Linked DNA regions of Mytilus edulis. The protein of the gene in region 1 purifies or fractionates together with the protein of each later gene. This does not show direct contact. Links are inferred from orthologs where the notes say so. Each region holds a gene or a part of one and is shown on either strand. Other genes may lie near its edges. The genes, in order: serine/threonine-protein kinase stk11-like and COP9 signalosome complex subunit 3-like.

Region 1 (16,835 bases):
ATGTAGTAGCCTCTATCGTTTTTATTATTTAGCATCATAAAATAAACCAAAATAATAATCTTACTTGTTGTTTTTAATTCTTCAAACGACATGCATAAACTGACAGGGGGTCATTACAGTTTCTCAAAATTGAACTATAAACACCCTTAACCCTAAATAAAAACCTAATATCAATGATGTATTTTTTTTTTATATTTCAACCTATTTTCATGCACTTTAATATTCAAGTGTTCTAATTGTACTAATCAATACTATCTTAGAATAACTGTAGATTGTATGTGCTGTCCCTTTATTCTTATTTTCCACTGCATATTTATATAAGGAAATAAAAAATGGGGCCTGTGGCTCAGATAGGCTATTCCGAACAATTTTTAGAGATCGAGTGTTTCTTTGTATTTGAAGCATATAATACATGTGGCCGAATTTTCTCACATTAGTTAGTAAGAAAAAAATCGAATTAGCCAAATAAATCACATGTTATGGACAAAACTGTGAGAAGTCACACTAAACGTACAAGGACAATTTTGTATTAATCTTTAATGTACATGTCAAAATCTAGAACCTTGACTGCAGACGTGTATTTAACATCGTGATATCATCTTAATGGGTGGAGTATTTTAAATATTGAATTATGTGACGTTATACTCAACTTTTTGTTCATTTAAGTAAATATTTAAAACCTACGAACTACTGAACCGTGAATTTGAAAAATAAAATTGTTGAAAAAATCCAACGAAAAAGACAAATTTATCTGAAGAAAATGACATAGTTTCGGACTGTCAGTGTAGCTGTCCTGCTTCCGTCGTTCTCCTTGACCATGTACAATGAGTTCATTTTACTAGAATATATCGCTTACATATAGAGAGTAAAAACAGTCCGATATAACACTATGAAACTTTATCCAATCTCAAACTTTGCAACTTTTTCTGATCATATTTGTATATTATATAATTAGACAGTTTTTGAATTCAGATACAGAGAGTAATGCGGGGGAGGACGGCCGAATAGCATTATATTAAAGAACTTTAACAAGTGTCTGGCGTATAGGGAAATGCACTTCAGATTATGCATTTAAACGACAAAGAAAGTGCAAATAATGAAAACATTTAAAGAGAAAGCGAATTCAATAGTGTGATGATAAGATTGCAGATTGTCGATGGAACATTATTTTAAGAAGACATTAACATTTTACACATATTGAATAATAAATTGATAATTTGTTTCCACAACCCCAATGTAACAAGCTGACTGAACTTGGTTCATAAAAATTTACTTTCTTAATCTGAATAGTATGTATATATATTACCGATAACATCACCAGTCCAAATCAGAGCTCTATCATTTAGAATAAATATATTATGTCAAAAATAAACTTAACTGAACAAAAAAAAATAATTACTAAAGACAAGAATTTTGGAATTCCAAGCAAATAATCTGTATGAATCTAGTTTCATCGGCAGCACTTTTTTTTTTGGGGGGGGGGGGGGGGGGGGGGTATTTTTTAGAAAATTAATTGTTTATGGTGTTTGGTGTTGTAGATTTTAAAAATCTATTAAATCTTTCATACCTGAATGAATCAAACTCATTAATATAAGTTCATTATAAGTGTCAAACCCAAATTTAAAATTTACCTATATGGTTATTTTCCTTTTATATTTCACCCCAAATTCCAAACATTTTTGCTCTTTTAATTTGTAAATTTCCGTCTCCTACGGTAACAAATAAATGTTAAACGGAACAGTATTATTAGATTCCAAAAACAAACAGATACTTAATATCATTTTTCGGAGAGATCTTCAGAAAGTTCCATCTAATATTATCTTGGTAACACGGCTTCATCAAGAGCCCACTGGTGTACGGTATTTCAATTGAGGAACTTATGAATTGTCCACAAGTGGCGGTAACTATCTTTTCGCGTAAAAGATTTATTTATGTGTTAAAACCCCCATTTGCTATGTTAATTCCTATGATCAGTAAATTAACCCGAACTTTAACACGTAACAAGCCCAGTTAACATTATAATAAAGGTAAACATGTATATCTTTAGTTGTAATCAAATACCATAGTGACAAACTAAGGTATTACAAAAATGTATTTCTTTTCCTTTTCGGATACACAATTTTTAAGACGTACCTGAATATGTGTTATAACTTCAAAGAATTCCGAGTTTCATGAGAGAGAAGAGAGCCGCCATTTTAGCCAGGTTTTCGTGTTTACGAAGAAGCATTTTACCTATGCTGATTAACAAATTCGATCCAATTCATTGATCCATAGTTTCTATTGAAACCAGCTGAGCCGTAACCAATATCATAGGGTAGATTTCTATTGGCGTGTATTTAAATCCATTCATAGCCTAGCCCATGTCATTTTTTTCTAAGTTCATTATTTAGGTATTGAAATTTGAAAATTAATACATAAAAAGTTTGTAATTTTTTAAATTCCAAACGTCGGATTTTCTACAAAATATTTCAAATGTTGATAGTTATATACAAAAAGACGAGAAATGTTCATACGGGCTGTAGTATATGTACATATGTATAAATATTTTGTTTTAAAATGATTCTTAGTCGATGTAACTCAACTCATCAATCATTGAAATATCACAATAGTTTGTCATGATAGCCTAAGCAACCAACAAACAAGGAAAGGTTGCAAATACAACTTACTTACCTACCCACTTAATTGTTTTATGATATATCTAGACTTTTTCGGAAACGATTTTTTCAACTATAACTGTTCAAGTTTAGTTAAATTAGTCCAGTAGTTTCAGTGGAAAGTATTTCTGTCAGAACGTTGATGGACGACGGTACCAAGTAATTAGAACAGCTCGAGGGTTTGCCCTTTTGGGTAGGACTTTCTAAGGAGGAACCTGGACATAAGCTCAACATCCATTAAAGAGCAAGCATACAAGTCCCTAGTAAGACCATCACTAGAGTATGCTTGCTCTGTTTGGAAACCATACTTACAACAAGACATAGATATCATTGAAAAAGTTGAAAGGTGGAGTTTGTAACCAACAAATACAGAAACACATCAAGTATTGGTAACATGTTACAACACCTTGAATAGAACAGCCTGAAAGAAGAAAAGATTCAAGATTGGTAATTCTATATAAAATTGAACACGAAAAGGTTGCAAGACCTAAAAACAATAAATTAATCCCACAAAAAAGACATATCCGCCACTGAATGGAACTTCTACTTCCATTTAATTCAAATAAAAAGACAAAGGGTACTGCGTAATACCTTTCTGTTACGTTCTGTCATGTAACTTGATAAAAAGTACCATCATAGCCATATACAGTAATAGGTAGGATTATAAAGACACTTTTGCTGATGAAACACAAAGCTCACCTACCATATACCAAGCAGTGTGTGTAATATAAGTTAATACCATCGTATAATTCTAAAAACCTTATCATAATATACTGTCTATATATTGAATGACAAGACAGGGTTTTGACTTTTAATAACAGCAAAGAACAATTGTACAATTCCAGTACAGTAGATGGTAACAGAAAGGAATTTATTTTTTAATGTTGTTTTTTATTGCCGAGACAGATTTTTCATATAGCAAATAGAAGCTTAAAAAAAATGATTATTTTGCTATTTTGACCAATTTGTGATAATGTATTTTTCTAAGACTATCAAAAGAAAGGAATTGTTTTGAAAAAAAAATCTTTCCCGTTACCAACTCTGTCATGTTACTGAAGATTTTGTCATGTTACCTACAAATCTGACTATAATGGAAATTTACTATATTTCTTAACCTTATGTATTGTATAGCTAAACATATTAATTGGCTTTGGATAAAATTATGCAGGATGTGCTAGTAAACCACAAATAGTATCTTTACCTTATTCCTCATTCACATTAGAATACTTCTTAAATTGATTAAAGGGAAAAACTGGAATTTTTGGTACCATTTTTTACATTGGTAATATATAGTTCAATTATCACATTTATCAAATCTAAAATGACAACTGTTCCTGAGTCCACAATGTTTGTTCTTTGTTTTGTTTTGTGCTATTAAAATAGAGGTTCCAAAGACATTATTTTTGTGTTTTTCTCATTGCCCAAAAATAGACGTTTTCAGATATTGTCTCATATATAAATCAATCGAACAATATGTAATCATCGGATGAAGATGGAATATTGTATACCTAAACAAGAAGAATCGATGTCTTCTTGTAAGTTTCCTGTTGTGACATAAATTTCTACTTGTTGAAGGCGGTCACTCAATCGTCTTCTTCTTCTTCTTCTTCTTCTTTGATATAGTGGTGTCTAGATGTTCCGTGTAATGGAATCTGTTGGAATTGCTACTAGTCGATTTACAATTTTGCAAAATAGGCATAATCTGATGTTCACTCTTCGTTGGTATAGAGGTATCCAGTTAAGCTTGCTTATCATGCTTGTGACACTTGATTCGTTACTGTAGTCGTTGAAAATATAGCGAGCTGCTCTTCTTTGTATCCGCTCTATTTTGTCTATATATTATTGCGTATAGGGATCCCATATGGCTGCGCTGTATTCCACTCTTGGTCTTACTAGTGCATTGACAGCATTGGTTTTTGTTTGCTGTGGAGCTTTTTTGATGTTTCTGATGAGCATCCCTTGTGCTTGGTTTGCACTGGCTAGAATGTTGTTTATGTGTAAGTTCCAGCTAAGATCATCTTTGATGGTAATTCCCAAGTATTGTTTGTCTGTTAACTTTTAGTTGTTTCCTATGCATGTAATATAGTTCTTTAATTGGGTTTTATATCGTGTTAGGTGCATCACGTTACATTTGCTGACATTAAATTCCATTTTCCATTTCTGTTCCCATTTCGTCAGTGTTGTTAGATCTTTTTGAAGAATGGCTTGATCTTTGATAGTTCTAATCGGCCAGTATAGATGGTGTAATCATCAGCAAACAGATGGATTGTTGACTATGTTATCAGTGAAGTCATTGATGAAGATTAGGAAAATGACAGGTCCAAGTACACTGCTTGGGGTACTCCAGATGTGACTCCTACTTTGTCCGAATACTTAATTTCACGTACAACTGCATGTGTTCTGTTGTCTAAAAATGCTGTGATCCATTTGTGATTTCCCCCTCTTATCCCATAGTGTCTGAGCTTGTGTAGCAGGCGTGGATGGCTGACTTTATCAAATGTCTTTGCTAAGTCCAGGACTATTATATCTGTTTGTGTTTTACTGTCCATTTTACATGTTATATCATGTATCAGGCCTATAAGTTGTGTCTCGCACGATTTCTTACTTCTAAAGCCAGGTTGGAACTCGGATAGTATTTTATTAGTTTCTAAATGTTTCATGACGTTGGATACTACGATATGCTTCATAAGCTTGCAAAGGATGCAGGTTTAGTGAGACAGGTTTGTTGTCTTCAGTAAAAACTGATTGGAACTGATGGTTTAGCGTGTTGGCTTCAATGTCAACTGTGTCATTTGATGTTTGTCCTTCATGTTTCAATGGTGGCACTCCAGCTATCTCTTTACTCATGCATTTTAAAAACGAGATTTTTTTTTTTTTGGGGGGGGGGTAGTTTATAATCCGGTGCTATATGATGTTTAATTGTTGTCTGTGGTATGTGCTCAGTCTTGTTAGTAAGTTTATGTATCATCTTTAAATTCCTCCCATATTTTGTTTATATCTGTACTATACATTGAAGACCTGTTGGTGACCCTCTGCTGTTGTTTTTTATTTGGTCGGGTTGTTGTCTCTTTGACACATTCCCCATTTCCATTCTCAATTTTATTGCAGTTTATGATAACATCGTTTCCAAGATTATTTGCTTCTGCTTTCATGGTCCCAAAGTCTGCTTTCTTATATTGGTAAACTTTTCTTGGTGTCTGATTTTCTTTGATTGGTGTTGTTACTGCTTCGGCATAAACAATATTATCGTGTTCTCCCTGGACAGACTTCAGTATGTAAGCCGAAAGAGGTATGGTAAAAAAACCAGACTGAGATTTCTCTCCATTGATTTGCACAACTGTAGATCACTGTAGCTACAAACTGAGACTACCATGAGTTATAGTAGTCTCAGCGGCTACAAAATAAGATTTGACTATTTAATATTAAGGATTTGTCAACTGTGTATCTATGTGGCACTTGTGACAATCTAGTTACATGGGACGATAGAGGAATAGTTTGTGACACATGCAATCAGTGGTACCATGTGTCATGCCAGTCGATGAACACTAAATCGTATAATGAATATGCAAATGACAGTGGACTTGCATGGGATTGTATCACATGTGGATGTCCAAACTATTCAACACAGATGCTATTCATTAATACTTAGCACATCAAACAATTACAGCGTATTGTCTGACACCTCTCTTACCAGTCCAACGTCTTCAATAAATATGAGACCCTTACATGCTTCCACACCGGATAAAAACAAGAACAGAAAACCATCAAAGAAATCTGAAACACCACTAAGATTACTAAATGTTAACTTCCAATCAATCAAAAGTAAACAAGGACAAGTACTTAATCTCATAGAAAGCACAAACCCAGATATTATCTTTGGAACCGAAACATGGGTAGACAATAAGATCACTGGCAGTCAAATATTCCCTCCTGGATATAACATCTTCCGGAAAGACAGAAACTGTAGTGGAGGGGGCGTACTAGTTGCTATTAAAGATAAATATATAACAACAGCCGTACCTGAACTACAAACTGACTGTGAAATTGTCTTGTGCAAACTTTAACTCATTGGACACAAAGCCATATACTTAAGCTCATATTACAACCCCAAAACATCAAACGAGAATGGGTACTTAGGACTTGAGAAGAGCCTAACCAGAGCGAACAATATAAAAAAATGCTTTAATCATCATGGCTGGTGATTTTAACCTACCAGGCTGGGACTGGAAAACCAAATCACTGAAGCCCAATACACAGAATACCAACATACACCATAAGTTCACTGACATCCTGGACGATCATGGCTTACAACAAATGGTAGAGGAACCAACAAGAGAATCATACACACTAGATCTCATAATCACGAACTACCCAAACTGCTACAATAGAGTCGAAACCATATATATCGGGCATATCAGATCATGACATCGTCTTTGCAGAGTTGAACACCATACCATAAAAAAAAACCTCAAAAGCCAAGGAAAATATCCTTATATAAAAAAGCTAAGCGGGAAAACATCAAAGAAGATCTCAAATTAATAAATACAGATGTTACCAAGATGAACCATCAAGAATGTAGTACACAAGAAATGTGGGACTATGTTCAAGGTAAACTTGAAAATACTATAAATGCCAACATATCACAAAAACAGCTAGAACAAAAGACGGTAACCCTTGGATTACGACAGACATCAAACGCTCATAAAGAAAAGAGAAAAAACATTACAATAAATAAAAAGAAACAAGAATCGCTCAAGTTGATTTTTTTGGCATTTATCTTTCGTTAAAGGGTTTGAGTGTCCAATTTCATTGAATTTTGTTTTTAAAAAAAATTGTGTAAAATTGTCGTTAAAGGGCAATAACTCGTTAAGTGGTGAATTGACAATTTTGGTCATATGAACTTATTTGTAGATCTTACTTTGCTGATCATATTTGCTGTTTACAGTTTATCTTTATCATTAATACTATTAAAGATAATAACCAAAAACTGCAAAATTTCCTTAAAATTACCATTTTAGTGGCAGCAACCCAGCAATGGGTTATTAGATTCATCTGAAAATTTCAGGACTGATAGAACTATCTTATGAATACTTTTACCACGTGTCAGATTTTCTCTAACTGCCTTGGTTTTTAAAATATACGTCAAAAAATGCATTTTATCCCTATCTTCTATTTTTAGACATGGTGGCCATGTTTTTTTGACGAAACAGAAAATAAAACAAAAACTTTATTCTAGACATCCTAAGGATCATTCAGCTCAAGTTTGGTTGGAATTGGTTCAGTGGTTTCAGAAAAGAAGATTTTTTAAAGTTAGAAAACATGATAAACAAATTGTGTAAAATTGTCCTTAAAGGGCAATAACTCTTTAAGTGGTCAATTGACAATGTTGGTCCTATAAACCTATTTGTAAATCTTACTTTGCTGAACATATTTGCTGTTTAAAGTTTATCTTTATCATTAACACTATTCAAGATAACCAAAAACTGCAAAATGGCCTTAAAATTACCAATTTTACTGGCAGCAACCCAACAATTTAGATCCATCTGAAAATTTCAGGGCTGATAGAACATTACCTTAAGAACACTTTCACCCCAAGTCAGATTTTCTCTAACTGCTTTGTTTTGTTTTTTTTAGATATAAGCCAAAAACTGCATTTTACCCCTATGTTCTATTTTTAGCTATGGCGGCCATGTTTTTTTGACGAAACAGAAAATAAAACACAAACTTTATTCTAGATACCCTTAGAATTATTCAGTGTAAGTTTGGTTGGAATTGGTTGAGTAGTTTTAGAGGAGAAGATGTTTGAAATAGTTTACACCAGATGGACGATGACGGACGACGACGGACGCCAAGTGATGGCTAAAGCTCACCGTTTCGAAAAAAAAATCAGCTGATGCTAAGCATACCATCAAAATATAAAGAACTAAAAAGACTGGTAGTAGATATTTCCAATATGCTGGTATTATTTCTCTCTGTACGGTACAGAGAGAAATAAGACGAGCATATTGGAAATATATAGAGAATATAATAACACCTGATCCCAAAGAAGACAAACCAAACTGCATGAAACGTTTCTGGACATTCATCAAGCACAAAAGATCAGACGGAAACCTTATACTACCATTAAGGAACAATGGACTACTCCATCCTGAGTCAGTTGAAAAGGCTAACATACTAAATAAACAGTTCCAATCAGTTTTTCTCTGACAAAAAAAACAACTTTACAGAAACCGAATTCAAAAACCGTTGTGACATGACCAACAACAACTACCCTGGACTTCAAAAAAGACCTGAACATAACAGAAAATGGAATAGCAAAACTATTGTCCAACCTAAACCCATTTAAAGCTGCGGGTCCAGACACCATTACATCAAGGGTGCAGAGGGAATTAGCCATAGACATTGCACCAATCCTTACCACCATCTTCAGACGATCATATGAAACAGGCGATTTACCGGACATATGGAAAAAGGCTAACGTAATCCCAATATTCAAGAAGGGAAAACGGTTTGATGCAGTAGTCTCGCTTACCTGCATTTGTTGCGAAATCATGGAGTACATTGTAACAAGCCACATAATGACCCATGCTGACAAACACAACAGAGGTACAACATACTGTATCCACTCCAACACGGATTCAGGAGAGGCCTGTCCTGCGAAACACAACTGATTGAGTTTATTAACGATATCACCATAAACATGGAAAACAAACAGACTGCCTTATTATGGATTTTTCTAAGGCCTTTGATAAAGTAGGTCATAGCCGACTTACACACAAACTGGATCATTATGGCATAGGAGGGAAAACCAACAGGTGGATCACAAACTTCCTGGCCAACAGAAAACAAGTCGTAGTTGTAGAAGGGGAAAAATCTGATACAATCAACGTCGATTCAGGCGTCACACAAGGATCAGTTCTTGGACCCAGTTTGTTCCTTTTCTATATAAATGACATGCCAGAGGGAATCCGATCAAGGGTAAGACTCTTTGCTGATGATACAATCATATATCTCCAATACCATCAGACACAGACAGCGACCACCTTCAGGAAGATCTAAATAAGCTGGCAATTTGGGAAAACAAATGGCAAATGGCATTTCATCCAGATAAATGTAATGTTCTTATCATAACAAGAAAATGCAAGTCTATTATAAAAGAATATGTACTGCATGGCCACATTCTCGAATCTCTTAACTCCGAGTCTGCAAAGTAATTTGGTTGCACCATCAGCTCCGATTTAAAATGGAATGAACACATCAAAAACATATGTGTTACGGCAAACAAGACCATAGGCTTCCTCAAACGTAACTTGAACATCAATAACAACACAATAAAAGAAAATGCATACAAATCACTTGTAAGACCGACTCTAGAATATGCATGTACAGTCTGGGATCCCTATCAACTAAACAACAAAAAAAGCGACTGGAAATGGTACAGAGGAGAGCAGCCACATATGCACTAATAGATATCATAACACATCATGATTTGTTAGTGACATGCATAACCAACTGGAGAGTAACCCCTCGATGACCGTAGGAGGACATCAAGGCTCACAATGATGTAAACTTGCCAACGGGATGGTGAAATTTGACACCACTTATACTCTCATTCCACCAGATAGGCTATCCAGAAATATCAACACTAATGGATACCAAGTACCATCTTGTAGGACCCAAGTGTGGAAGGAATATTTTTACCCAAGGACGATTCGAGACTGACTGGAATGCACTACCACATACTGCCATCAGTGCAGATAGTCTTGAATGCTTCAAGACTTACCTACATGAGATGAACTAGATCAACTTCAAGATGTTTTTAAATTCACTGTATATATATGATGACGGTACAGTATGGTGCCGATTTGAAGAATGACCATAAAAAAATTAAGGCTCATTTGACGGTAACGGTCGCGAAAATGCGTGTTTGTCTTCGTAGACAAAAGATATATTTACACTTAAAAATAATATGGACACTTTTAGTTTTGATACCAAAAAGTATCAACAAAAAGTAACACATTTCAAATGTTATATTTCCCGCTATATTAACTTTTCTTTTGCTGATTCCGGAACACGAAACGACGTTTTTAAACCAGTCGCCTCGTTTTGATAACTGTCAAATATGGAGTCGACCAACTTCCTCCAGCCACTTTGACATGAATGTGATGTTAGGTTTCCAAAATTTAAGAAATAGTCCACACCAGTTATGGCAGAGAATGTTGTGGTGCCAACAGATATATTTCTTGCACCCAACGAATATGGCCATTCTACCCTAGAACATGTTGATCAACTTGATTTCCTTAACGATAGTGATGGAGGTCTTCCCTTTTTTCACAGAGTTGAATCTAGCGAAGTCGTTTATCAGCCTCGTCGGAAAAAGGCAAAGATGGTTGGAAAGTATCTTGTTGGCGATCTGTTAGGAGAGGGTTCATATGGAAAAGTTAAAGAAGTTATAGACACTGTCACACTATGCAGAAGGGCTGTTAAAATTTTAAAGAAGAGGAAACTGAGAAAAATTCCTAATGGAGAACAAAACGTTTTAAGGTTGTTATTTCCGAAGATCACATTTGAAAATGTAAAAACCAAAATGTTTGCTCATGCCACAACATGTGATGTCAAGCATATTTAAGGCAATGTCTTTGATTATGTTGAAAACATAAATAAAACAAAAATATATGGCAGTGTCTGCACTAGTCCAAATAATTATGACGTCTTGAAAGGCTATTATAATTTTTTTCTTTGACACCTTACATCGACGTCATAATGCTGAAGCCGCCATTTTCGGTTGGACTTTGAGAGCATATTTTGCTCTCAACTTTGAGACCCAATTTAGCCACAAAATTTTCATTGGAGGCTAAAACAAAATGCATAAACAAAAATTCTTACCTTTTATGTGTTTGTTTGTGCAAAATATTTCCAATTAATCCCTACAGAAATAATAATATAAGGAACAATTCCATCCGAGGCGGGAACATGTCGACTGCATTTTTTAAAACGTTTGTCTGATTTCCTTTAAGAAGATTATAAAATAATTTTTACACCAAACTCGGTAAAACCCGAATTTCCGGAACCATTGTTTTACATTATCCGGAAATTCAGGTCGGTGAAAATGTACCGAGTTTGGTTAAAAAATATATTTTATACACCTAAAATGAAGCATCTTTAGGAGAAATCAGCTAAACGTTTTAATAAAGCAGTAAATTCCTTCTCAAAGTCCAACTGAATATATGAGTTTGGCGTTATGACGTCGATGTAAGGCGTCAAAGAAAAAAATTATAATAGCCTTTCAAGACGTCATAATTATTTGGACTATGTCTGCACATACCTTCATGCAGGTATGAATAGTCAAATTACCATTCGTAGGCTATGCGTACCCACCGGTTTTATAATAAAAATGCTGTGGGATTGTAAATGAAAGGTGAAATATAAACGGAAATTATCAATAGTATGGGGATTTCATGTAGACCTCAATCCTCAATCTTAAGGCCTGTTGGCACGAATTGTCTCAATGTGCGGTTTTCCTCAACGTATTTTCTTTTCTGTGCTTTAAATTGGTACATGTATGCGCTGGTTAAGATTGGGATTGTGGGACAGTAGTATTAAATCTGCCCGTTCTGTCAATGTAATGTGCCACTGTTTGTAGTTTGGCTTTTGTCTCTTCTGTGTTCTCGCCGTCCAGTCTCGTTAGCTAAATTCAAGTTTCTGACCCCGACCTCTTTGGATATTTGGTGTAACATATCTTCTCGTTCGTTTTCATAGCAGGGACATTCCAGAAGAAAATGTTGAGGCGTTTCATGTGCTCCACAGTTGCAGGACTCTATGGCGTTGGTTTGGCCTACTCGGTTTTGTAGTAATTGAGTTCTGTATAGCCAGTTCTTAGTTGGGCGAATATACTGTAGAACAAGTGAAGAATATGAAAAATAATATTTTCAAATTGTATTTTTAAGATAATAATATGTAATGAACCTTGCAAATTAAATGCTCATGCACTATGATGCACTGATGGAAAATGAAACTTTACAGTCCCAGTAAAAGAAAAACATGATAAAAATTAATACTATCATAAAATGTAAATGCAAATTACTGAATTTGAAAAATACCCATATGAGATTTAAAAATAATCTTTAAGTAAAATGTTAAACAGAAAAGGAAATTTTAAAATATCTTAAACTACTAAAATTAAAGCTTGGGTGTGTATATAAAAATTTAAAAAGCAATTAATATTGTCAAATTAAACCAACTTTGTTCCAGCTTTAGTCAAGCCAAGTTTAAAGTGGAAATACATTCCATTTGGAAAGTACTGAAAGTAGACATATATATCCTTTATATCATGAATGGTTTAGAATAGAAAAACAAGAAGTATTTGACATAAAAAAAAACTTGACCATAGAATGAAACACTGCAAATTCAATTTAAACTATAAATTTTAATCGAATACCGATTGTATTAGGCCTTTTTCCTGTCAAATTTTTCCTGCAGCTGCAATTGACTCTGAGTTTCTTTTATACAATTGTATAAAATTAGCTATAGTTGACTGAAAGTTTTGAACAAATTGTTCCAATTCATGATAACTTGAAATGTCTTCCCCACATGTATATCACTCTTCCATTTTAAGAATATTTATTAACTGAGAAAAACTGTCTATAAAACTTCGGAGTAGTTTAAATCAATTTATTCACTAATTGCAACAAATTCCGTATATATTTCACATTCCATTCTCAATCTGATGCCATTTTATTATAAAACCGGATGCGGGTATGCGTAGCATACAAACTATTATTTGACTATTCGTACCCACATACGGGTACATGCAAACACTGCCAAAAAATATTGTTCTGTTGGACACTAAATGGCAGAATGCTAGGCTGGGTTAGAAACTGAGTAATTACAAACATTAGGCCAAATAAAAATATATGTGTGGTTCCAGTTACATACTTTTAAAAAATAGGGTTGGTAGGTCGGCAATTTTTTTATTTGTTTTTGAATTTTATTTTTTTTGAATGTCAAAATCCGGAAACAAATCGTGTGTTTACCGAAATTGTTTCCGGTATTATACATGCCCCAACCTGAAGTCCGCCATTTTTACATGTGTTTGGTTGTAAAATAAACAGTCATGATACGTTTTAAGTTAATTTTGTTGCATTCTGTTATGAATTGTTGCATTTTACCCATAACAGATACTTGTGATGGAAATTCAGATTACAGAATTCTATGAATTTAATTATTTTAATTCACAATCCTCAAAATTTTAACCTTTGAAAATTTATTTTTCAGAAATAAAAAAAAAAGTTCTAAGGTCGGGGGGTTTTAATTAGGGTCTGTCGGGTTACTGGAACCACACATATATTTTTATTTGGCCTTACAAAAATATTTTGTGTCTACATTTAAGTCAATGCATTTCAATGTAGCTGGGAATAGTAAAAAGTCTTAAAAGTTAAAATATAGCTTGAAAATTTGTATTTGTAACACTACAATAGCCAAACACTTAAATATTTCATTTGGAAAGTGCTAAAAAGACTAAAAACACAATGCTTTGGATCAGTACAACAGGTTTAAAGAATTTGTTCACAATTTTATAGTTCAATGATGCAGACACATTATAGACTAGTATTTATCAAACTAGAAATATTGTCTTACGTCTATTTGCAAGCTCACTAGAGCTCGTGTTTATGTAGTTTATTGAATATTGACTCTAAAAAAACTTTAAATTGAATAGAAAAGATATCTCCAGCATTTTCCAGCAAATGTTGGAATGTCAAAGTTTATTTTAAGTTCCTACTTGACAAGATTTGTAAACACAAGACACAACCACTATACAACTCCACACTGTCAGAAGAGACATCAAATGCTGCCATTGGTCAAGAATGATGTATTTCGAATAAGCATGACTTTTATCTTCCAGCAGATGATGTAGCATTGTAATAACAAATGTTGTCTTAATCTGCCCGGGGTTGATAGGAGGGTACTAGATCATAACTTGGTTACAGAAGATAACATTGAACATACTGAGATGGTTGTTTCTTAATTGGTTCATGCATTTTTTTTACAGGGAAATTCAGCTTTTAAAGAGGCTTCACCATAAACATGTAGTTTTCTTGGATGATGTCATCTTTAATGATGAAAAGCAAAAGATGTATCCTTTATAATCATATCAAAGAAAGTCAGATGGGTGTTTGGTAAACTTACATGCAATAAAAAAATGAAATGCAGGGTCAAAGGAAATCAAAATGATAGCTTAAAATTAAATTAAATAAATTTTTCGTTTATACCGAGGAGATATTCAGATACATGTTTACATATATTTGGCCCATTTCTTTTTTGTCTTTTTGAGTTTGCGCAAGAAATTTCAATTTTATGACAATGCATATCATGCATATATGTTGTAAATTTGTACTTGATAAAGGTTATTTTGAATCTTGAATCTGTCTTTTACTGTCTTTGATTATGACTATAATACAGAAGGAAAAAATGTTTCTTAAAAAATGTCAAAAATTATGACGAAAGTTCTCACAGATTTATTAATAGATATTATTGCAAAAAAAATAATTGATTTGTGGGATGTAAGACAACCAGAAATCATTTAATATCAGATTTATGAGGAAGGCATTACAACACGGCTAATTATTAAACAAGTAAACATATCTAATTACAAGAACAAACTAGGAGAGTCATTATTGGAGCCAAGGGGTAAATGTAGAAAGTGATTTCCTTGGCAGTTAGTTGTCTTTTTGTACTCTGTATCATCAACTCATAAACCAACTATATATTTGAGTGTAAGTTTTTGAGACTTATTATTTGTTGTCCTGGTATTTCTCAACTCTGATTTTACTTTTTGTTTCATAAATCTGATTTTTTTTCAAAACAAGTAGGCAATTTTTATCGACAGCCACCTTATAAACCACTGATTGGGTAGTACCAGATTCACACCTGAGTCTAATAAATGAAGCACCATGGTGATATTTTTACCATTGTTCTCTTATTAGTATATGAATAGGTTTTATAATAGAATAAATATTATAAATGTGATGCCATAAGTTTAAGGAGAAAGTACTAGAGAGATCACTGTCGGAATAATTCTGTAAAACTTTCACCAAATCGTTCAGACAAAATGTCAATGTCAGTCTGCAAATCTTTTTATATAAACTTTAGGTCACCTCACCAACTGGTTTGTTCATGAAATATTTTGTTTAATTGTTTTCCTTAATAAAAAATACAGGTATATTTTTATGGAATATTGTGTTTGTGAACTTCAAGAAATGTTAGAAAGTGCTACAGATAAAAAGTTCCCAATCTTTCAGGCTCATTAGTAAGTATAAAAATAATTAAAATTATATTGAAAATTGCATTGTACAAGATTACAATACCTGTAATAGAATTGTTAATGAATCTTATTTCAAAGGTTTATTTCAGCAATGTCTTTTATGATTTTGAAAAACTGTTGTATGATTTAAAAAAAAATGAATTATGTTTGAAAATCAGTGATGATCAACTTAGTTTACAGAAGTTATGGCCGTTGGAAAAAGAAATTTTTTGACAGGTTTATAAATATTTTGACAACATTGATAGGTATTCAATAGTTTTATGAACTGAATCACAGATAAAGTATTAACATAAGCATATATATCTTTTCAGTTATTTTAAGCAGTTAGTAGAAGGATTAATATTTTTACACAGTCGAGGTATAGTCCATAAAGATATTAAACCTGGTAATCTGTTACTAGCCAGAGATGAGACGTTAAAAATCACAGATTTTGGTGTGGCTGAGGTATGCACTTAACTTGACTAAAAATAAACAGGCCACGTTAAAGATCATTGTTCTGGAATAATTAACATCAAAGACTTTGGCTGTAGATCAGCTCACAATAATTAACATTGGAGTAGTTTACAACGAGTATAATACCCTGGATCTGTTGTCATCAAAAACAACTTTAGTTAAGATCATTACTACAAAAGTAAGACTGCCCAGTCTGAGAAAATAAATGTTCATACAAAAAAAAGCTAAGGTTCATTTACAGTCACATCACTGCACATGGTAAGTCAATTAAATTTTACCTGCAGTCTTCACCAGCATAGGATTTTAAAATTTCTATCAGGCCAATAGCAATTTTGCAAAACATGAATATCAGGCATATGGATGTAACCGTTTATCTTAATAGAGTCCAATATATTGAATACTAGTTA
Region 2 (16,769 bases), on another chromosome or scaffold:
ATTGTGGGAGAATGGGCTAATGCCCCCAATGCACCATTTGCCTGTGTCAGGGGCAGACAACAAACAATAGCAGAAGGTTATTGTCAATACAGGTAGGTATTAAATATCTTGAAATTTACGAACCATTTTGTTCAAAATATTATGGATTTAAATCAATATACTGTTACTCAACCATATGCAAGATTGAGACATAATGTATAACCCATATCTATCTTCCAAGAATTTTTTTTTTGATTATCTGTGTCACTAGGTTGCTATCTCATTGACATATACCCAAAACCTCCTTAAATGTTTATTTATTTTTCTTGACAATATTGATATCACAAATTTTAGCTATGTATATTATTCCAAATCATTCATTCTTTGTAACAGTATAAAAGATAAAATAGCAGTAAATAATCTGTTGATAAAATGTCAACTTCAAAGATAACAAAAAAATATTCAAAATGTAAAGTAAAAAAAAATATATAGAAAATTTATTTCAAATAAATAGACACCAATACACCTTATTGCTATTTGTACACCATTACTGGACATCATAAAGGTTCCCGTAAAATGTTGACGTCACAATAGAAAAGTCTGACACCTCAAACAGAAAGTGATTGCTGTATGATGTCAATAGTTTAAGTGTCGTAGATTATCTGGTCAAGCTTTGCAGATTCCCAAATAGCTATATGGTCTGTTAAATACTTCCTTGAAGTCCCAGTAGGGTGTAACAAGAGGTGCATGTGCAATCAATATAAGTCCTAAGCTTTTGTAAACTAAGCAAAGTCTACATCAAAGTCGTTTCTTAAAATCTTCAATCATTGTCCTCCAAGTTCCATCGGTCCAATTGTTTAGGCGTAGTTTATCTCCTTTAACTTTCATATTTTGGTTATTTGGGGCAGTAAACACGACATGTTTCCATGAAGGATTATTCATTGCACCTAAAAACATAAAAATCAAATAAATTTAATCTGTTAATATCTAAAAGTTTTTAAATGGTGAAAGCAATCAATAAAAGATCAAAGGGACATGTATTGGTGGCTTACTGTTTGTATGAATATAATCATATAGTGACCTCTTCTTTCTTTTTTTAAATGTGGGAATATGATGTTATTTTTTCTGGAATATTTTTCATTGTCTTCAGTTTAATAAACAAAAAGAAATTGAGAAGATTTTCCACTTTTCAGTATTACAATTAACATGTATAATATCAAATTCTATTACTGCTGAATATAAAGATTTCTATATTTTTGACAAAATCTTTTCATACATAACACAAAACCATCTCCATTTGTAAAAATTAATTGGTATTTTTTAATGAGCATATTGTTGTGGAAGAAATAGACTAAACATAAAAGAGACATCAAACTCAAATAAACTTCTACCCGTATAAATAATGGTTTACTTTTACAAATTGTGACTTGGATGGAAATTTGTCTCATTAGCACTCATACCACATCTTCTTATATCTAGATAAAAACTCAGGTTGTATCACTATGTGACTTTGTAAAAAGAATCTGGAAATACTGAAATGTGTTCTTTTTGTTTGATATTCTGTAGGTACGGGTGCCTTTTCTTTAAACGAGTACATTTGTAAAATCCAAGATCAATAGAAAAGCAAGTTGGTGTAATAATTCAATAACATTGTATATGTAACAGCAATGAGAAACTATGAACAAGCAAACCCCTCACAGTATATCAAATTAAACCTATCAAATGCAAAAAAAAACAAAAAAAAGGCAAACAAACCACACATTGTTCATCAAAATAAAACCAAAAGAGTGATTGTATTCTTAACAAAACCATCTTGAGACAACTATCCATGAGAGAACAGATGATGAGGATGTAAATAACTGTAAAAGTCACCATACAGCTTTCAACCATGAGGGGCCTGATGGGTTATATTCGTTCTTCATGATCGGTGCATTTTTGCTATCGTGATCCTTTTTTCTACAGATTTTTATTTCTTATATTTTTCGTCATCCGTGATGATGGAAATTTATTTTCGGTGAATCTTGATTGACAAAAAAATCAACTTGTGAATAGTGATGAGACCCCCCCCCCATCAGGCCCCTCAACCATGATAAATAAACTATTTAACATTTGATAAGCTTTAAAAGGTACATTCATGAAAAATGTAATTTTGACAACCAAAAATAAAGCTGAGAATAAAAAAATTCAAACAATATGTTCTTATAAATATCAACCAATTAAAAGCTGAGAACATTGAACCAAACCATATTTTTCATTGTTTATTTAAGTTAACCAATGAAAACTTAGAACATCCACATGTCAGTAAGAATTATTTCCAGAAAGGTATATGTCCTCACATAATATTGAGAAGAAATAAATTAATCAGGTTAGTTGAGGGTTGTGCTTACATGTTTCACCCCACCACACTCTGTATGTATGTGTCTGTCCCAAGTCAGGAGCCTGTATTTCAGTGGTTGTCATTTGTTGATGATTGACATATTTTGTTTTTCATTCATTTTTTGTACATAAATAAGGCCTTAAGTTTTCTCGTTTTATTTGTTTTACATTTGTCATTTCAGGGCCTTTTTATAGCTGACTATGCGGTATGGGCTTTGCTCATTGTTGTAGGCTGTACAGAGACCTATAGTTGTGTCATTTGGTCTCTTGTGGAGAGTTGTCTCATTGGCAATCATACTACATCTTCTTTTTTATATGTATAGAGATCGATGAAGCAGAACTTACCTGTTATATGGATCTTGTCATCAATCAAAATATCTCCATTAATCATAGTTTTATCTCTCGTTAAAATCAGTCTATTTATCCAATCTGGTCCTAAATGTTTCTCTACCCATTCATACTGTAAATGTAAGACTTTGTTAGGTCAAGTTAGTCTTTAATCTTTTTCATATATTGATTTGATGAACGGGGGTCTCCTTTAGCTTTTCTGTTAGGGTTAAACCTCAAACCATCATTAATGCTGTGTAAACAATAATGAATCAATTATTATCATCAATTTTTGATTTGAATAACTTTATATTTTTGACTTTTTTGCTACAAATTTAAATATGTAGAGGATTTGTAGTATGGCCCAGTATAGTAAAGGAAAACCCCAGAAAATTCAGTCATGCATGAAAAAAGCATTATACTCACTTTTTCTGGTGCACTGTACTTGTACTGAAATAGTGGACTAGAACAAATGAAAACTTCAACACTGAAAAATAATTTCAAGTAATAAATTCTCAATTCTTGTAACAGTCCAGATTTTTCTTCCAGAATTATCAACCGTTCTTTGACAAATTCACTCAATATAGAAAGCCACCAGGATTTCTTTACCTCAGCCAGTATAAAGTTGTTGATAGGAGTTCAGTAAAGAGTGTTTAAAGGTATCAGTCTTGCTTCACCATTGGATTTCTACATGATGTGTTTTTTTTGCAATTTCATTAAAAATTCATGAATATGGAAATTTTGCCCATGAACATGGTGGGTTTGCCTTTTTACTTGTAATAATTTGTAACCCTCTTGGTATCATCTTATTTTTTTAAGTTGTATATTTTAAGCAACTTTAATTAAAGATAAATCTATTTTATCTGACAAAATATTACTTGTATTAAATTTTATTTTCAGATAAAGCTCAGGCATAGATTTATTTGACAGAAATTATAAAAAGGGAGTATAATCAAAACTTTCACTAAGATAAAATAAATGCTGAGTTTTCACTCAGAAAAAATAAATGCTGAGTAACAAAGTTTGAACAGCATGATCTTCAAATCCATTCCCAGATCTCATCTATAAAAAGTGACTGGAAAATATATCAAACTAGCATTTTTTCAGAATTACAACATATTTTTATTAACATTGGCTAAATCTCATAAAAAAGTTGCCTCATTTTTTAATTTGTAAATCACATATACCTTTCAAAGTGTAGTCAAAGAAGATGTTGGCTGTACATCAATGAGACAGTAAATATATACATCAGATATAAAACAGAGAAGGCTTTATTTCTTACCCTTCCATTTCTGCCATTTCCTTGACAGCATCACATCCACCTTCTATTTCTGGTAAATCACGGAAAAAGTGTTCACTCCTGTAAATCTTCTTTAATTCAAGCTATAAACAAATAAAATATTTGTTAGTCCTCTTAACAGACTTTCAAGATGCACTTGTAATTATTCTTTATGAGATTAAATTTAATGCATTAATTTCACCTATATGTATTATCTTCCTTTTGAATGTGTCAACAGAATATTTCATTTATGTACAATTTCATCATAAACTACTGCAAAACCTGTGACTCTGATGATAAATTTATTCTGTAATTTAGTACATGTACCGAAGTTAACAAAATATCGACACTTGGATGTCCACAGATGAAATTGTTCAATTGTTGTAACTACAATCCTAACCATTTTTCCCTAAATCAGACTTATCACAGAGTTTGTACTAACATGAGCCACACAATGACTGACAACGTGTGGAGCAGGATCTGCTTGTTCTTCTGGAGCAACTGATATCAACCCCAGTTTTTGTTGGGGTTCATGTGGTTCAATCTTTAATTTTCTATGCTATGTTTTGTGGAGCTGTTGTTAGTCTGTTTGTCTTTTCCTTTTTTTAACCAGGTCGTTGTCGGTCTGTTTTAAATTATGAGTTTTAACTTAAGGTCCCTTTTTTATCTTTCACCTCATTTATACTGACTATTTTTCACCATTGAAGCAACATATAAGATAAAATGAGAAAATGGTTTTTATTTCTTAATACAGGGATCACTCACTCTAACACTATCATCTGTAAAATTCAATTTATCATACTGATCAGCAATATAAAATGTGTTTCTCTTCTCTACTGGAATATATGGTTCATTAGGATATTTTTCTCTAAACTTGATCACGAAATGCTTTTCAAATGCTGCCAATGTCTCATCAAGATCTATCAAAACCATCAACGTTCTTTGTGCCATACTTCCTATTCCTCTCCTTGCTGCCATTGTTTACTATCTGAGACTAGTCTTAGTTACTATGAATTATCAAAAAGTGTCAGTCTGAAAATATAGGTGTACAGTAAAAAGGCATTGCTACATCTTTAGGATCTCTATCAAAAAAATACTTTGAATCTTCTGTGAATACTTTAAATTTTGTTATTGTTTTTTTTTTATTCTCTGTGCTATTATTTCAAATCATTTCATATGTAATGGCTGTCACCACATGTTCATGTATCTGTCCAAAGTTAGCAACCTCGTAAATGGTTTTTTTTCTATAGGTGATAATTGGTGGATTTTAATAATATGATGAATTGGATATTTATCTTTTAGGGTTAGTCTGGATTGGATGATTCTGTAAAATTGTAAAACAATGAATCAGCATAATTGTTCTCAAAACCCTACACTTCATAGCCTTAAAGCAGCAAACCCTGTACAGTATTGTAAGCTAAACGAGGCCTTATTCATTGTGAGAAGAGGACATGGCTAACAGTGTGCCTTCTATCCAAATTAATTCAGACATCAAATGTTAGTGTGTCTTGATAAAAGAGAAGTGGAAGAATACAAAGGAGCATTATAGTTGATGACAAACTGATAAAGCCATGTAAAAAAAAAGAAAAACAACCAAATCCCAGAAATCAAGTGCTTGTAAGCACTGAATGGTAAAGATTGCTTTAATTTATCAGTTGGAAGAAAAATTTAATATTGCATTGGTTGTAGATGTTTTAACAGCAATTCTAGACAAAGGAAGATAACTCCATTTTTTTTTTAAAGATGACTTTAACAATGGCATCATTTATATTCTTAGAACAGGTATAAAATTCATGCCCTTTATAGCTTGTTGTTCGGTGTGAGCCAAGGCTCCGTGTTGAAAGCCGTACATTAACCTATAATGGTTTACTTTTTTTTAAACTGTTATTTGGATAGAAAGTTGTCTCATAGGCACTCACACCACATCTTCCTATATCTACCTAACAAAAGTTATGTAATTTTCATGACAAGTGTAACATCATTTTGTGCCTTGAATATCTGAGCATATATTACATTGTTAAATTTCTGGAAATGTTCATGGACAGGATATATAAAATATTATGATCAATACACTATAATATGTGTATCAATAAGGTTGTGATAAGTCTTGGAAGAATTGATATCAAGTCAATCCCATAAGGTTTTGATTGAATTTCATGCAATCTTTACCTTTAAAATTATGACATAGAAAAGAAAAGACTAAGCAACAGACCCACAAAAAAAACAAAAAAACTCTGGTATATTTGTATAGATTATCGGGTTTTCTACACATTGATATCGTTAAATATCAGAGCGAGCCACAATGCGAACCTTTTTGGCGAGTGAGCGTAGCGAACGAGCTAAAAAGTTTCACATTGTGTCGACCGGCTGATATTTTACGATATCTATACGTAGAAAATCCGATTATCTGTTTATCGTTCTATTAATGGTATTTTTTCCTCTCCCTAAGACAGTTTTAAGCTTGACGAAAGCAAGCTTGATAACTTCTCCTCTCGCATTGTGACGTCGCTGATAACTTCTCCTCTCACATTGTGACGTCGCTGATAATGCCTGGTCTCGTTTTGAAGTCTTGATACGAGAATTACTGAGCGACAGAGCAGGGTGATATAGGCGTAGGGAAGGACGATAATAAGATTTATTGGGATAAAAGACAACTTCAGAATAGCAAAATAATGAAACTTTGAGACCAAATGTCATTTCCCAAAAATGCAATTAGAGCAAATTGAGTTAATCATATTAAAATAAATAGGTAATAAAAAATTAGAAATTATGTGTTTTTGGTTTTTTGATCTTTAAATCCTGATCCATTATCTCTATTTTTCCAGATTTTCTCTTTGGAGTAGTATCAGTAATGCCCCAACCTTATAGAATAATAGGTTATGCAATTGTGATAGTTGTGGTTTTACCATCAATATAGTTTTAGTAACAAATGTGAATTTAACTAAGTTTCTGGGCTCAAAGTTATCAGAATTTTCTCAGAATTCTTACCTGTGTTTAGTTTTATCTCATTTCATTAGTTACAAAGGTTTTAGGTTCACATTTGTTTAAAGTCTTTAAGTTTTTATTCATTTTATACTCAACTGATTTTACCTTCAAACCAGAAGTGGGATTTAGCTTGTGCAGAAGCACAAACTTTTAGTAACCTAATTTCATTGGTATATTGATAATTATTTCAGTCAATCAGAGCATGATATGTTAAAAATTTTCAAAGTCTTTCAGGAAGATAGTTATTTCATATCCTAAAAGCTAGGTATTTTACAAAGTAAAACCTATGAACTGTAAAGGGTTCATTCAAGTTAAAAAGGTCATACTTTTTTTACCATATAAGTCTGTATATTCCTTATATTCATTGGTACATTTTGTACATGTCTAAAGGCGACAGGTATGTTACCCAATGGAATTGTATTCAATTCTAGTTTTTGATACCATTTACTTAGATTAGTATTAGAGAGGACTGTTTCAATCCATTATGTTGGTATTCAAACTTGAGCAATTTTGTGGTCTATAAAGAGTTTTCTTTTTTTTTTGTTAGATGACTTTTTGTTAGGACGATTTTATAGATGGCACTGGCTACAGTTACATGGAAATGTAACAATAATAAAAATATTATTGTTACATTGGAGACTAATTGCCGGAATGCAAAGTTGGGTAAGGAACCGATTAATTATGAATGTAACAATAATTATTGAGGCTACGGTTACATTGCATTATTGTTACATGAAAAACAGCAATGTACGCTAGATTTATTAAACTTAAATCTTCTATTTAGTTTTGTTGCTTAATTCATTCAGGTCTACTAAATAATACTTGTTATAATAATAAATATTATTATTCAACAAATGGTGTTTAAATAGTTTTAGGTATTAATGGATTTGATGTTCTTAAAGATACTAGGCAATATAGGAAAGGTGTACCGACATAAGTAGTCTCTAAACACATTAGCTCCAAATGGAGCTTTCGTTAGTTCTTAAAGATACTACTTCAAATTAGTAGTGCCAAAGGCAAAAAATATAGTTCAATGGTTTGTTGTTGAAAACTCAGGCTGAGAAAACTGTTCACTTTTAAGTATTTAACTGCACACCTACTCGTATTACTGTCATTATACTTTGAACAAAAGATGAAGAGATTCCTATTACCAATTCTGTTTGGGTGAAAAATTTAAAACTTGCATGGGATGCGTTTGAAACGAAACTGAAACAATATCAAGACACAAATTTCATACCGCTATACAACGCACTTACCAAAAATTGGTACATCAAAAAGTTTGCTGACTGTGAACTAACACTGTGAACTTCTGTATACATGTATAAAATTGAGAATGGAAATGGGAAATGTATCAAAGCGACAACAACCCGAACATAGAGAGACAACAGCCGAAGGTCACCAATGGGTCTTCAATGTAGTGAGAAACTCCCACACCCGTCAGAGGCGTCCTTCAGCTGGTCCCTAAACAAATATGTATACGAGTTCGGTGATAATGGACGTCATACTAAACTCTGAATTATACACAAGAAACTAACATTAAAAATCATACAAGACAAACAAAGGCCATGCAAAGGCACCTGACTTGAGAAAGGCGCAAAATTGCAGCGGGGTTAAACATGTTTATGACATCTCAACCCTCCCCTATACCTCCAGCCAATGCATAAAAAACAAACGCACAACACTACGCATAGTAAAACTCAGTTTAAGAGATGCCTAGTCCGATTTCAGAATCCATGGAGGACGTACTATAAAAAAATCAAAAATTGTATGTTATACTTGTATGTATTGTAAATATAAGATAATGTCTTCAACTTTTATTATTTAGTACATATTACTAGTCCCATCGAATATTGCTGTTTTTCATGAAACAATAACGCAATGTAACCGTAGCCTCAATAATTATTGTTACATTGGTAATTAATCGGTTCCTTATCCAACCATGCATTCCGGCATTTAGTCCCCAATGTAACAATAATATTTTTATTATTGTTACATTTCCATGTAACTGTAGCCAGTGCTTGCTTTATAGATACTTCCAGTAGGTCAATTGTCAAATCCTGGTTTCAAAGTTAGATAAATAAAATAAATAAGTATAACTTGTTTGATATTGTAAGCTGATTAAATTTTGTAATTTGTTATAATAAAAGTTGTGCTTTAAAATCTTTGTTTTTCAAAGCCTATACAAGCATCTGATGATCTGAGAGATACGAACCAGGACAGGTACTTACCAGGACAGGTACTTTACTACACGGTCCAGGACTAGTCCCAATCGAACCCCACAGTATACTGGGACCTGTTCCTGTTACACAATGATCTAATAAATGCAGAGATGTGTTTTGTGCAGTTGCTTGAGGATTTCAAGACTCAGGCTCTATACAAATTAAAACAGGCTTTCAAGTTTTTTGAAATAGTTGTTTTTTAGCTTCATTAAAATTCCTAAGTTTATAAAGATGTCAGACGTTTGTTCTATTTTGGAAGAAAGATCCTTTATACATCAACCTATTTTAAGTATATTAAATAGTTCATATTGTTTCACTTGCTTTATGAACATGTATATAGAATAGAATAGAATAGAATAGAATATATATATACCATCTAACGTCCCATAGACTGTCGTTCTATTTAATGACCTATTTGTTTATTACCGCTTAAGATCATAAACAATTGACATGCATTAATTTTGATATGATTTCCACTCATTTAGTTTGTAGAAAAAAAACATTTTGAAATTTGGAATTTCAGATATTATTTTTAAATGTATATTTACAAGTCATAAGGCTTTTTAAGAAAAAAATAGATATTATCTTATTGTTGTAAGCGACAACTGAACATTGGTGAAAAATCCTGCTTCTAGAAAAATATAACAGACTATGGCCTCAGTCTTAGAGCAGTATGTCAATACAGTACAGAACCTGTCTTCCCAAGGTATAAGAAATAATTATTTCAGCATTAAAAATTAAATTCAATCAACTAGTGTAGACAAATCTTACAGTTACATGACATTTGAACCCCATCTCCTAAAATAAATGAAAAAAAATCATCATTTTACTCTGTCTTGTTGAGTGGGTCCGGGGTAATTCCGTACACTTTCGGTCCTAAATGAATATCATTTGGTTCCCTGTTTGATACAACAAAGTTCAAGAAGGAAACCGGTAACTAGATTATTCGTAGATTGTAGACGTGTATGACTTTTTCTTTAGCAATCAACAAAAAATACCAAGAATGACTAAATCGTACTGAAAAGTCACAGTAGGGTAAATACGTACGCATGTCGTGTATCTTCGTACACCATGATGTGTAATTCCGTACAATTATATTACATCGATATAATTCAAAATACTGTTTCTCTTTGGAAAGAGCTTTCCTGATTTTTGTCGAGCCTTCGACTTTAGTCGAAAAAGCGAGACTAAGCGATCCTACATTCCATCGGCGGCGGCGGCGTCCACAAATATTCACTCTGTGTTTAAAGTTTTTGAAATTTTAATAACTTTCTTAAACTATACTGAATTTCTACCAAACTTGGACAGAAGCTTGTTTATGATCATAAGAAAGTATCCAGAAGTAAATTTTGTAAAAATAAAATTCCATTTTTTTCCGTATTTTACTTATAAATGGACTTAGTTTTTCTGCGAGGAAACATTACATTCACTCTGGTTAAAGTTTTTAAAATTTTAATAACTTTCATAAACTATCCTTGATTTGTACCAAACTTGGACAGAAGCTTGTTTATGATCATAAGATACATTTGTAGTATCACGAAGAAAAATTTGAAAAAAAAAATTTCCACTTTTCCGTATTTTACTTATAAATGGACTTAGTTTTTTTGCCAGAAACAAAACATTCACTCTGTCATGTCTGTGGTTTAAATTTTTAAAATTTTTATAATGTTCTTAAACTATCCTGGATTTCTACCAAACTTAGACAAAAGCTTGTTTCTGATCATAATCACTTTTTCCGTATTTTACTTATAAATGGACTTAGTTTTTCTTCCAGTTAACATTACATACAGTCTGCAGTTAAAGTTTATAAAACATTTATTAGATTCATAAACTATCCTGGATTTTTTTTTACCAAACTTGGAAGCTTCTTTCAATCAAAAGACAGTATCGAGAGGGAAATTTTTATTGATGTTTTTCCTCATTATTGTTGAGTCTGCGATTAACAACAAAAGTAGGCGAGACACTGGGTTCCGTGGAACCCTTACAATTTTTTTTTTAAAATAGAACTTTTTCCAAAACTCAATCGGCAGTGAATATGGATAAAATTAAAAGCTTTATTGCATATTATTTATAAATTAAAAAAAATGCAGGCATGGAATTGGATCATACAACGTTTTTTTTCTTATAAAAAGTTAAATCAACTTTGTTGACCTCTAGTTGTTAACTTATAGCTTGGTTTATCTACTTTAGGGCAGCAATATGATCGTGAATAGTCTTTACAGGAACTCCATATTTCATGGAAGATTTTCTTAGTGACATATTGTTGTGTTTGACATCATTTACAGCTTTTTGCAAACTTTCAGTGGTATAGCTTTTACGTTTTAGGAGAGTTTTCCTTTTTTTGGCATAACTGAAAAAAGAGAAGACAAAAGTTAAAGAAATTGATAAATATTTTATTAATTACAATTATCTCAAAGAAAAAGTATGTTTAGTCAGACCAGGACTGGTATTCAAACTCATCAGTTGTTTCTAAAAGTGTCCTCAAATTTTCAAGATACGGATGTATTCCTACAGGTAAGTTTGATAATTGATGATGATGAACCAAACTTCGCACTTAATAAGTTAATGGTAGTTCTCCTACTTCATATGATGATAACCATTTTTTAACAACATTCAATGCAATATTTCCAATGGTTTTATCGGAAAGCTAATGTACAATGCAATCAACCACAAAGTATTGCTTGACTTCATGAAACATTGGCATGTCTAGTTTCATAAGCTGCCATGCAATTAGGGAGGAGTAGTTGTTATGTATACCAATATCTCTGTTCATTAAATATATGACAACTGAATGTTGATTCATAACTGAAAAATATAAAGAATGGTTTCTTTTTTTACAATTTATTTCGTTCTACGAATATTGTTGATGCCAGTTAACTTTGTATCTTTTTTTTTTTTAATTTGCTTCTCTTATTTCAGTTCTGTTTTAATTGATAGACAAGTACAGAAATCGTTACTCACCTTTCCCACTTCACCCGCTTATTACTATACACAGGGTCAAATTTTGTAACATCATTTCACGGTGAAATAAAACAACGTGAAGATAGTGTCTGTATTTATGTTTATTTTTTGCGTAAAGTTCACTGGTAAAAGCAAAGGTTAGTAATATATAACGTTTCATTTTATAACATGATATTTCATATATCTGAAAACTGAAGTGTACGATATTAGACTACTTGCATTTTAATGTAAAATATCACAAAGGGTAATACCGTACACCCACTCCTAGTCATATTTTTGGGAAACATCTTCACAAATACTACATAAAACAGTATATGTCAATTGTAAAATATTCAGGGCATTCATTTGCCATCAATTTTCTTAAATTTAGATGCAAGTAAAAAATTCTTACCTTTAAATATCGAAACTTGGTTACTAGCAAAATCTGGTGACTTTTTCCACAAGACTAGCTTTCAAAAAAACCTGCAAATCAAACTTTCCGATCAATCGTGATGCGTATATATTCTGTGGCCATTTTAACTTTAAAGCTTAAAAAAATAAGGTCGTAAATATTTAATTATCTATATACAACACTAAAACACACTTTATTAATCTTATTTATTATAAAAACAACAGAAAAACAATATGTACGGTATTAACCCGACTGTACGAAATTACCCGGACCGACTCTACCATATTAAAACTAATCATGAATATTTTACATTTAACAAACTTTAAATGATGTTGTTTGTCAGTTGGAAGAATTTTTTTCAATTTCTTTGGTAGTTTTAAGTGTATATATAGTCCAAATAATTATTATGCCTTGAACTGCAGTTCTTTTACAATTGTACATTTACATTATACTTCTACCATATATATACATTTAGTGACTGCCTTCAACAAATTGAATATCATTTCATTGGAGGAAACTTACAACAAGACAGAAATTTATATATACAAAATTAAGGAATACAGGAAAATGAAAAATGCTATGTATATTATAAAGTTTGATGTAATAGTTGAGGTAACATAGATGCTTAGAAATTGAAGATTTGAACATGTTAAAAGATTCAGCAGGGTTTTTACTAAGGCGAGTCCTTGAGTCCTGGACTCGTGAAAATTTGTCAAAACTTGCGAGTCCAACATTGTCCAAAGATGCATCAAGATTGAAATATTTTTCTATAAACTGAACAAGTGTAAAGCAAAATTATATCTGGGTGAAATTTGATCCGGAGGAAAAAATGTCATAGTAGTTGTTGTTATTTTTTTATCCAGAGGAAACTTATTTCCCTGGGATATGTTTTCCTTTGCTGTGGAATTCTATCTGGGAAGTTAACTTATTAAATAGATGATAGTTATTAGAAAAAAAAACTTAATCTTTACAATACAAATACTATGAAATAATAATCAGTGATACAATGTAATACAAATGTAATGTATTTGAATTTATAGAGCTAAAATGTTACAAATTATCATTGAAAAAATTTCAAATGTCCAGTGATTTCCTGCATGCCATCTAGCTAAAAATTAATTATTTAGATAAAAGAAAGGTTTTATAGTACAAAAGTTATTGAATTTGAACCAAACAGACTACCAAGCATGCAAAGCAAAATTTATTTCAATCTGATTTTAATTTGACTTAAATGAAACAAGTTTTATCTGATGATGTAACTTTTTTAATAGAAATTGTCTAAATATGGTTAATCATCAGATTGTAGTTATAAAGATAATCTTGAACTTATCAATTTTAATCTTTTCTGTCCCTTCAGAATACTAAAACAATTACAAGAATGATTCTATTTGTGTTACATTGCCGATATAACGAAATCAGGTAATAGATGATATTACTGGCCATGCAGACACCAGAGATTCCACTGTATATGATTTTTCTGATTTTTATTATTTGGACTTGTGTTGCTTTGGGGAGAGAAGTTTTGCCCCAAAAAGGACATGAAGGATGCATATGGCTGTTATATGATTATATTAATATTGTTATTTCTTGAAAATATGAACTTTGTTGCATATATTTGGGATAGTTTTGTTGAATTTAAATTTGGAATAATAAAAAAAGTAAGTGGGCTTTGAATTAATATTGTATATTTCAATCAACTTTTTATTTTAAAACTCGCACATAGTGTTGTACTTTACACTCATAGTCAAACACTAAAACACATAGATGTGGTGTTTCCCATTCTTAACAAATTTAATTTACTTCTGTTGTAGGAAATTTTTCTCAGCTGTGTGAATTCATTGGAAAAAGTGCAGATGCCCTAACCAAAAATGCAAGTCATTTGGACAATGTGTTAGCAACATTAGATATTCAGCAACATTCTCTAGGAATTTTGGGTATTTTGTAAGTAAACATATTCAGATTTCTTTTGTTTATTTTGTTAAATGATTTTTTACTGTCAGTAACACCACAAAAGACAGATAAAGATGTTCAATATAACAATTTTAACCAGTTAAAAATTGGTACCACCGCAGTTATTTTCTTACTACATGTAACATAACAAAAATAGATACATTTCTTTTAAATAAATTAAAGATCTGACATACAAACCTTTAAAAGAAGTTTATTTCTACGGTTCATATGGATGTTTTTATTTTACTTATGCAGGTATCAATGAGAAAGAATACTTTTCCATCTTTAGTTGTATCTAAAAATGTATAACAAATATGTTTAACAAAAAGGAAACTGGTCACAAAGAGGATACTATTTCATATATTTATATCATTATTTCTCAACAAACCAAATGACATTGGTGTAGAGATAATTTCTGATTATTGATGTAATTTCTGTTGAATTGTCCTACATTAACCATAATGTAATACCCAATGATGTATTGTTTCAGATGTGTTAAGTACAGTTTACCAAATATACCAGATTTTGAGATTTTATTTATACAGACTCAGGAATTCATCCATAATTGTAATGGAGAGCATGTCAGATATGCCACAGACAGTTGTAAGTTTATACAACAAAATAATCTTTATTAAGACATAGTTGCCAATCTCTGACAGTGTCTGAGCTACCATTGAAGCAACAACACACTTGGCATGCTCAAATGAAATGACCAAAAACAAAATTCATAAAAAATCATAACAGTCAAATTTTTTGCCTTGCTACTATTGGCAACTTTGGTGTGCACATCATTATAAGTCTACCTACAACACTGTCTGACAATGACAAATCAAGTCAAAAAGCGTGTGAAAACATGTGACATAAATACAGACTTTTTAATATGAACATTGGCATGACACGGGTTATGTTCTTCTCATATATGTTATGATGGTATGATACTAAACCCCTAACAGGAAGGATTGTGCCTACATTTTTTATGGATTGTTTCAAACTATTGATTAAAGTTGCTTAACTCTGAGGCTATTATACTAATTTCAATATATTATGGCCCAGCTTAATAACTTTTATATTTTTTTATGAGAAACACTGAATTTCATACACAAGATAATTTTTAATTAAATTGTAATAATGATATATTATAATTTCTTTACATTTTCTAAAATAATTTTTTTTTTTAGTGCTAGATATTTAGTTGGAATAAGTTTCTCACAAGAACCTTAGTAAAACTTAAACAACTTTTAATTTCAAATGTTACTTTAATTGTATTTTTTTTACTCAAATATGAATTTTACTCAGATATGAATTGAACAATATAAAAAGAACATTATTTACATATGGCCCTTTATACTATTGTAAAATCCAAACATTGTAGCGCACCGCACGAATGAGCACTTCTCTTTCAAATCTCACCACTTCTCCCTATCAGTTTCAAAAAGAGAAGTCACTTCTCCCTATAATTCTGAAGTAGTGTGAGCCCTGGTTTAACCCCGCCGCATTTTTGCGCCTGTCCCAAGTCAGGAGCCTCTGGCCTTTGTTAGTCTTGTATTATTTTAATTTTAGTTTCTTGTGTACAATTTGGAAATTAGTAAGGCGTTCATTATCACTGAACTAGTATATATTTGTTTAGGGGCCAGTTGAAGGACGCCTCCGGGTGCTGGAATTTCTCGCTACATTGAAGACCTGTTGGTGACCTTCTGCTGTTGTTTTTTTCTATGGTTGGGTTGTTGTCTCTTTGGCACATTCCCCATTTCCATTCTCAATTTTATTATACATTTTTTATATTAAAGTATAATTCTACTGTAAACTTTTATTGCATTCAATAGTCTGTTTTGCTGCATTCGCAACAACACAACTAGGCACATATTTCAAAACATCTGGCAGTTTATTTAAGGTGTTGTCTTATCTTCTTTCTTTATATATTATATACTGGTATGCATTTAAAAGTATACCAGTGATATAGCAAATATAATAAAATGGAGAAATTACATAAAATCTTAACAACAAGAAACACAAATGTTCAGAAATGATGCAGTGCACAAACTTTAAACCCTAGCCTAAAACCCAAACATTATTTTAATCATCTACATACTGACGAAATTTGTTACAATAATCACTTTGATGAGTTTTGTGAATTAAGCTATAATTTTCCTGAAAATAACCCATATCATGCCTTTTTACTAAGATATGGCCACAGACCACAATTAATTCCTCTATCAGTTCTTTATAACGTTTTGCATCATTAAAAAAATTGCACCATGCACTTTTGTCAAATTTTGTGTGTGTAATGTATAGTCCTAGTCCA

What was found.
Region 2: the proteins of serine/threonine-protein kinase stk11-like (region 1) and COP9 signalosome complex subunit 3-like purify together in Homo sapiens (affinity purification with mass spectrometry; 5 studies listed by BioGRID and IntAct, with this or other methods). This does not show direct contact. The link is inferred for Mytilus edulis from reciprocal best matches to the Homo sapiens genes STK11 and COPS3.

What each region holds. Positions count from the first base shown.
Region 1 is NC_092344.1:117,603,537-117,620,371, reverse strand, and holds the start of serine/threonine-protein kinase stk11-like, read left to right. Parts: upstream 1-10,742; 5' UTR 10,743-10,860; coding exon 10,861-11,198; intron 11,199-14,703; coding exon 14,704-14,787; intron 14,788-15,870; coding exon 15,871-15,960; intron 15,961-16,286; coding exon 16,287-16,419; intron 16,420-16,835. UniProt on the Homo sapiens protein: Tumor suppressor serine/threonine-protein kinase that controls the activity of AMP-activated protein kinase (AMPK) family members, thereby playing a role in various processes such as cell metabolism, cell polarity, apoptosis and DNA damage response.
Region 2 is NC_092352.1:14,414,668-14,431,436, forward strand, and holds the start of COP9 signalosome complex subunit 3-like, read left to right. Parts: upstream 1-9,749; 5' UTR 9,750-9,816; coding exon 9,817-9,871; intron 9,872-14,328; coding exon 14,329-14,458; intron 14,459-14,957; coding exon 14,958-15,070; intron 15,071-16,769. Other genes in the region: 5'(3')-deoxyribonucleotidase, cytosolic type-like, read right to left, coding at 778-926, 2,701-2,815, 3,109-3,169, 3,965-4,065, 4,727-4,939. UniProt on the Homo sapiens protein: Component of the COP9 signalosome complex (CSN), a complex involved in various cellular and developmental processes.